2 linked regions of the Macaca fascicularis genome follow. The protein of the gene in region 1 purifies or fractionates together with the protein of each later gene. This does not show direct contact. Links are inferred from orthologs where the notes say so. Each region holds a gene or a part of one and is shown on either strand. Other genes may lie near its edges.

What was found.
Region 2: the proteins of ZMYND8 (region 1) and MTA2 purify together in Homo sapiens (affinity purification with mass spectrometry; 3 studies listed by BioGRID and IntAct, with this or other methods). This does not show direct contact. The link is inferred for Macaca fascicularis from reciprocal best matches to the Homo sapiens genes ZMYND8 and MTA2.

Annotation. Positions count from the first base shown.
Region 1 is NC_088384.1:103,410,012-103,413,761, reverse strand, and holds the start of ZMYND8 (MYND-type zinc finger-containing chromatin reader ZMYND8), read left to right. Parts: upstream 1-1,164; 5' UTR 1,165-1,224; coding exon 1,225-1,238; intron 1,239-2,389; exon of another isoform or gene 2,390-2,460; intron 2,461-3,750. UniProt on the Homo sapiens protein: Chromatin reader that recognizes dual histone modifications such as histone H3.1 dimethylated at 'Lys-36' and histone H4 acetylated at 'Lys-16' (H3.1K36me2-H4K16ac) and histone H3 methylated at 'Lys-4' and histone H4 acetylated at 'Lys-14' (H3K4me1-H3K14ac).
Region 2 is NC_088388.1:11,464,550-11,467,924, forward strand, and holds the end of MTA2 (metastasis-associated protein MTA2), read left to right. Parts: intron 1-68; coding exon 69-208; intron 209-468; coding exon 469-697; intron 698-890; coding exon 891-980; intron 981-1,332; coding exon 1,333-1,451; intron 1,452-1,559; coding exon 1,560-1,708; intron 1,709-1,932; coding exon 1,933-2,098; 3' UTR 2,099-2,741; downstream 2,742-3,375. UniProt on the Homo sapiens protein: May function as a transcriptional coregulator. Acts as a component of the histone deacetylase NuRD complex which participates in the remodeling of chromatin.

The sequences.
Region 1 (3,750 bases):
CAGCCCGAGAGGCACTGCCTGTGCCCTGGATTCACAAGGTACACGCCTCCCTGGGAAGCAAAGGCTGAGAGACAGCGGCTCTCTCTCTCTCTCTCTCTCTCTGCATCTGCCGGGAGAGCTGCAGCTGGTATTTTTCCACAGGCCTTTGCTGCGATCTCAAGGCCTAGTTTTTCCCAGCCAGGCCCGGAGTCCGAGAGAGGGTTAACAGGCAGGAAGCCGAAGGCATCGCAGGCTAATACGGAAGTCAGATTTGTGTTTAACTGACAGGTTTAGCAGGCCTCGGCCGTGGGGGAGGGGCCGGGAGGCAAGGGAAGTTTGTAGATCCAGGCATGTGGCCTGCGAGGAGGGCTTTGGGTTTTTCTTAGGGTAAGGACGGAGAGGGGTCCCCCTTGGCATCGTGGCAGGGAGGCAGGAACCCACGTTGATTTTGCACGCAGGACTGGCTAAGCAGGGCGAGAGGCCCACGGCTCTCTGGCCTGCCTTGCAAGGAGGCATGGGGACAATGACTATGCAAACTTGACCACTCTGCTCCCCTCCTCCCCTCAGCAGCTACTCCTCGCTCCTCTGAGAAGCCAGGGCTGCTCTCTGCTGATTTTTCGTGGCTCCCCCGGTCTGCCTGCTTCCCCAGCTCCTCAGAGGCCTGCCTCAAGCCCCTTTTTCTGGCCCCCTTGGCTGTTTCCGTGGGACTCCCCACTCCCCAGCTTCCCCTTCCCCTTGGAGAGCCACCCTGCTGGACTGTTCTAGAAAACGGCTGGCCTTCCTCCCTGGACAAGGGCCGTTTCTCTGGGGGCAGGTGAGGGTGAGCCGTTCCAGCCCACTCCAAGAAACTCCCTTCCCAGGGGCCTCCAGTCCTCAGGCTTCCCTGGAGCAGGTCAGGCTGGCTGCCCTGGCCGGCCCGTGCCGGGAAATCTAGCCAGGGTGCAGGAGAAGTGCGTGTGGGGGCCCCTTTCCCAAGTTTTTCTTGCTGCAAAAGGCCTAGCTTAGCCTGTCTTTTTCTATGCACAGGATGGCTCTTGCTCACCCGAGCCTCACAAAGATAATCGCTCAGGAAGTGTTTCAGCCAATCCGGGGCGGCTTTACACTCCGATTTGCCAGGGCAGCCAATCGGGGATGAGCTTTTATTAGGCGGCCAGATCATCAGCCGAAGTGCCAAACCCTTTTTCTGTGAGAACTAGGAGCCTGTCCTCCATGTTTTATAAGTATTGACATTACACAGTGTTAACAATGCATCCACAGAGGTAAGCTCGACTTTTTAACCATCTTTTTTCCCCCTCCCTCTGAGACATCCGAATTGTGGGCGAGCAGTGTGATTTCTCTGTGGCTGGCCGTGCCACACTCACCCCCAGAGCACTTATGTTAACTTGGAACTGTTTAGAGAGAATTTTTTTGCTTTCTTGGGTCACATGGCTCAGTAGCCATTAGCCATAGCTTGATTTTGCAAACTGGCAAGGGCCTGGCACACCTTTCCTTCCACCAGGGCATGGTGTTTCTGGAAGAGTTTGAAGCTAGATCCTGGTATGCCAAAAAAGAAGCTTTTTTTTTTTTCTTCTTCTTCTTCTTCTTTTTTCTTTCCCTCTTCCCTCTCTCTTCCCCTCTCTCTCTCTCTGAGCAGTTCCCCCCCCCCCCTGCACTATTGTCTTCTCTTTTGCCACATGCCCTGCTGGGGGAAGAAAATGGAAGGTAAGCAAACAGGCTCCTCTCCAAGGAGAGCTCATGGCAGACAGCAGAGCAGGCAAGTTTGCCTCTCCAAAGAGGTTCTGGGAAGGCTGGATAAGTTTTGACAAGAGAGGAGCGTGTTTGCAAAAGAATTGAACCCTCAGCAGAGCAGTGCTAAGGAGAGTCTAGCTCCTGGGGCCTAGGTGGGTGGTGGTGTCTGTACACGGTCTTCTCTTATTCTACAGAGCTTCTGCACTTGAAACTACATTGTTCAGCCTGTTTTCCTGACTTAGGTTGCTACAGAGTGTTCTGCAAGCCAGCCTACAGCCAGCAAATGTTTCTGAAAGTGTTTTCTAGGTTTTGGAGGAAGTTTTTGGAGTAGGGATGGGGACTGGGGGGTGTGGGGAGAGAGATCTTGGACAACATCCTGCAAAAAAAAAAAAAAAAAAAAAAAAAGAAAAAATCTGCAAGGATTCTGAATCCCTTAGTTTTCTACTCTTGCATGATTTTCAAGGAACTAATGTTACCTTTTATCCTTGTTTTCATTTTCCTGTCCCTTTTATACATTGTATCCTCCTCTCTTCTCCTGTGTGATGGAGTGTAGAGGAAATAAAATCATGTCTGTGGCTCATGACAGCATTCCATATTCAGTTGTTGGGTTGTGGTGTTGTTGTTGTTGTGTGTTTTTAATAATACCATGTAACTGTTTAAAAAAATTTCCTTTTTGATCAAGTCCCAAATCTGCCAGCCTGTTCTCTCTTCCTAACTGTGGAAAAATGAGACGGTTGCTTGAACATTTGTTGGGTAAGTAAAGCAATCCATTTCCTCTGTGACCATGTTTGAAGAGTTTTGCGAACATTTGGGGTCTGTTTGTAATAGGGGGTCTTGGCTGCAGGAGTTGGGGGCTTCATTAGCAGGAACAAAATAAGGGCTTTTTAAAGAGTGTCTTGATTTTAGGTGACTGTTTGAATCCACTGTTTTTCCTGATAACCTGCAGCTAGGATTGAAGATTATACTTCCTGTTTACCCTGAGTCAGGGGAGAAGTGTTTAGTTCATTGTGACTTGACTCTAGACCTTTAATGGGGTTTGTTTGGATATTCAAACTGTGAGTAGGTGATGTGCTTGTGAAATGTAATGAAACTGCTTGTTCTTAGAGTTGCAGAGCCCTAAAAACATTGGTGGGGCAGAAGCTGGTGGTGGTGGTGGTGGTGGTATGTGTGTGCTGGGGGGTGGTGGTGGCAGTGTGCTCATGCTTTAGGACTTATGTATAGTGCAAAATCTCATCTGCCACCAGACTGGGGTTGGATTCAGGACTCACTGACCAACACATTTTGGCCTTTTTTCAGGTCTCATCCACACATCTGTATGCATGCTGACCCCACATAAGATTTGTCACTTTTTACATTTCCCTTGACTTCTTAAGGCTGCAGCTAGAAGTTAAGTGGGAAAAGTAGAGTCTTGTTTAGCATTACCTTTAGAATTTCCCTAGAAGTTCAGTACGTAAATTTTCAGCTTGGAGACCAATCTGACATGACTGTAAATGCAGGAAATATATTCAATTGCTGTGTTATGTCAACTTTATGGAGTCAGTAATCTTTTTTCTTTCAAATGAGTGTCCAGTAGCCCACTTTCTGACACCAAATTGGAAAAAGGCTCATTTAATCAGGAGAAACGTTTCGTACCACATTCTAAGTTGAAAAAAGTCTGTGCAAGGCAGGCCAGCTTAGCTTCTTAGAGTAAAACTGCAGGCAGTTAATGATGTTACATACTTAAAACTGAACAGTGCCACTGCCCCAAACAAGTAAGTTTAGACACTCAGCTATTTTCTTTGTTCTTATCTCCTTGCTGTAAATGGAAATTACATATTGAGGTTCTTGTGGCCTCCCTAGAAGCAGTGTCTAATCATAAGACTCCTGGTTTGGTGCCTTCAACGTTTGCATAATACTGTGTTTGTTGGGCTGGAAGGGAACTTAAGGGCAAGGCGTTTGTCCTCTAAAAGCTTGCATTAAAATGGCTCCCACAGGTTTGGAGAGCCAAGATGTGTTCTCAGATGTACAGCCCCCAGCAAGTTGCCAACACTGGACCAAGCTAGC
Region 2 (3,375 bases), on another chromosome or scaffold:
GGCTCAAGAATCTGTGGGGCTCAGGTAGCATGCTTCTTCCCTGTCCCCCTCCTCTCCATGCTCTGCAGCCACACAGTCTGCTCAGTGGTATGCCTGGGGCCCACCTAACATGCAGTGCCGCCTCTGTGCTTCCTGTTGGATCTACTGGAAGAAATATGGGGGACTGAAGACCCCAACTCAGCTTGAGGGAGCCACTCGGGGTACCACGGTAAGGATCAGTGGGGGTAAAAGCAGGGGAGAGCAGTAAGCATATTGATGTGAGCTTAGGTGAGGGCCAGAATATCCAACTCTTTATATGGTGATGGTTTGATGGGCAGGGGGTGCTTGATGCTGGTTGGGGAGACATATAGGCCAAGAGGTCAGTAAAGAGATTAGGCAGGAATAAATTGTCTTCTGCAGGGAATGGAAGAAAGAAGGGAGCCTCAATGCTGATTTCTGCTCTCTCTCTTTCCTATGCTCTTCTTCTAGGAGCCACACTCGAGGGGTCATTTGTCCAGACCTGAAGCTCAAAGTCTCTCCCCTTATACAACCAGCGCCAACCGGGCCAAGCTACTGGCTAAGAACAGGCAAACTTTCCTGCTTCAGACCACGAAACTGACCCGTCTTGCCAGACGCATGTGCAGGGACCTATTACAGCCGAGGAGGGCTGCCCGACGGCCGTATGCTCCTATCAATGCCAATGCCATCAAAGCAGAGTGTAAGGACAGGGAGTGATGGGGCTGGTGGTGGGTTTAGGGTTGCTCTGCCCAGAGACGATTGTTTCTCTGGATGTTTAATAACAGGAGGCATAGTAGGCCACAGGTAATTTTTTAAAGATTAGACTTGGCTTCTGGCCTCAGAGGAGACCTGAATGGTGAAGCCCTTCAGAAGCTTTCATCTTTGTTCTGCAGGCTCCATTCGACTTCCTAAGGCCGCCAAGACTCCATTGAAGATTCACCCTCTGGTGCGGCTGCCCCTGGCAACTATCGTCAAAGATCTGGGTATGGGATGAGGACCAGTGAGGGTGGCATCAGGCTCCCAGTCCGTTCCCTGTCCAACATCTTCTCTCCCCTTGTTTTCTTCTTCCCCATAGTGTCCTCAGAGATTTAGTCTAACAAACTGTACTTTTGTTGTTTAATAATTTTTTTTGTAAACTATTCAGTGTTACTGTACTGATTTGATAAGGTCATACTGATATTTGAAATACTAGTGATAGCTTGCCAGAACCTTACCCCATTGCTACTTTTGGGGATGCCCAGGTAAACTGCTGGTCCAGGGGAAGAGATGGAAGTAACAAAGGGGAACTGTGTAGGGAAGAAAAGGTGTGAAAGTTTTCTATTACTTTTTTTCCAGTGGCCCAGGCACCCCTGAAACCAAAAACACCTCGGGGTACCAAGACACCGATCAACAGAAACCAGCTGTCCCAGAACCGGGGACTGGGGGGCATTATGGTGAAACGGGCCTATGAGACTGTGAGTTGACAGAAAGGGGTGGGCCAAGCTGAGTTGGGTGGGCTTTTGTTTCTCATAGGAGTCTGAGAGGGTCCCTTCCCTCATTGTGCCATCCTGCCTCTTTTCCAGATGGCAGGGGCAGGGGTTCCTTTCTCTGCCAATGGAAGGCCTCTGGCTTCAGGGATTCGTTCAAGCTCACAGCCAGCCGCCAAGCGTCAGAAACTAAACCCTGCTGATGCCCCCAATCCTGTGGTGTTTGTGGCCACAAAGGATACCAGGTAGGGAGTCTACCATGGGAGGGGCTGAGAGGGACAGTCCAGGCTGTGAGTGTGGGGAGTAGGAGTTTCAGAGCAAGAGCTCTAGGAAGGTTGTGGATGCAGGGTGGGGATGCCAGAAAAGAATGGGCCAGAAGGCAGAATTGCAGTGTGGAATGTGGGGCTTCACCTGGAGGGCTTAGTGTTCTCTAAGCCTTTTCTGTTTCTCACTTGCTCTTTCTGGCCAGGGCCCTACGGAAGGCTCTGACCCATCTGGAAATGCGGCGAGCTGCTCGCCGACCCAACTTGCCCCTGAAGGTGAAGCCAACGCTGATGGCAGTGCGGCCCCCTGTCCCTCTACCTGCACCCTCACATCCTGCCAGCACTAATGAGCCTATTGTCCTGGAGGATTGAGCACCTGTGGGGGAGGGAGGTGGGCTGAGAGGTAGAGGGTGGATGCCCAGGGCACCCAAACCTCCCTTCCCTTTCGTGTCAAAGGGAGTGAGGAGTAAGGAAGAGAGCAAGTGAGTGTGCGTCCCTGGAGGGGTTGGGCGCCCTCTGGTGTTACAACCTCGAGACTTGTCTCATGCCTCCATGCTTGCTGATGGAGGACAGACTGCAGGAACTTGGCCCATGTGGGAACCTAGCCTGTTTTGGGGGGTAGGACCCACAGATGTCTTGGACAGTTTTGGGGGGAGGGTTTTTTAATTTTTTAAAAATTTTGCCTCCCTTTGTGAAAGGGGATGGGGAGGGGAAGAGTAAACAGATAACAGGTGGTGGTACCTGGTTGGGGGAGGGGGGCGTGCACTGCCATGTCTTTTTTTTTTTTTTCCTAATTGGGGGTTTCTCTTTCTGTCCGGTGTCCGGACTATCCTAATTGGAGTTTGAGGCCCCTAAGCTGGCATCAACCCCAGGCCATGCTCGCTCTTTCCTTCCCTCCCCTCCCCCTCCGCCTTTTGTACGCCAGTTCTCAGAAATAAAGATCTTTTGTCCGTTTTTTTAACCTCGGATTCTGTAATTGGTTCTTATAGTAACAAATAAAAAGCTGTTTTCTTCAGCTTCTCCTGGCTCAGCTGTTCTTTGCCATGGGTGTGTGTTGTGTGTGTGTTGGGGGTGTCTTTGACAGGGAAAATAAAGGACAAAGGACAACAAAGGAGGTACAGATGGTTCTTGCCTTGGGAACAGCTTTATGAGATATGCAGCCTGGACCGAGGCGGCTTGCTCCAGCTAGCCTTCTTGTGGGATCCAAACTGCTCCCCAGCTCCCAGTGGTGATGGAGCCCAAGCACCATCTTGGCCCAGATTCCTTCAAAGGAGTTGAGATGAGCTTTCTGGATGACTGGTGGCCTCCATAGGAAAGGAGAATGGGGGTGTTTCTTCCTCTGTTTCCCACCTCTTACTCCCCTCTCCCTTTCACTTAAGGAATTCTGGAAGTTGCTGGCAGCCAGGGTAACATGTATACCACCTTGGTGGTGGTGATGGGGTTATAGGAGGATCTCCTCACCTAGCTGTGTGGTGTATTTGGCAGATGAGAATTCTACCATTGAACCACTCGAGCACCTCTGGGTGTATGTGTACAGCCTGCTGCTTCAGGATCCTCAAGGCCAGTCTCAGCAACTGCCTTGATACCCTGATCCACTGTAGCACCGTTTCCTGCCTGAAAGGTTTGGGACACTGAGATTAGATGCCTGA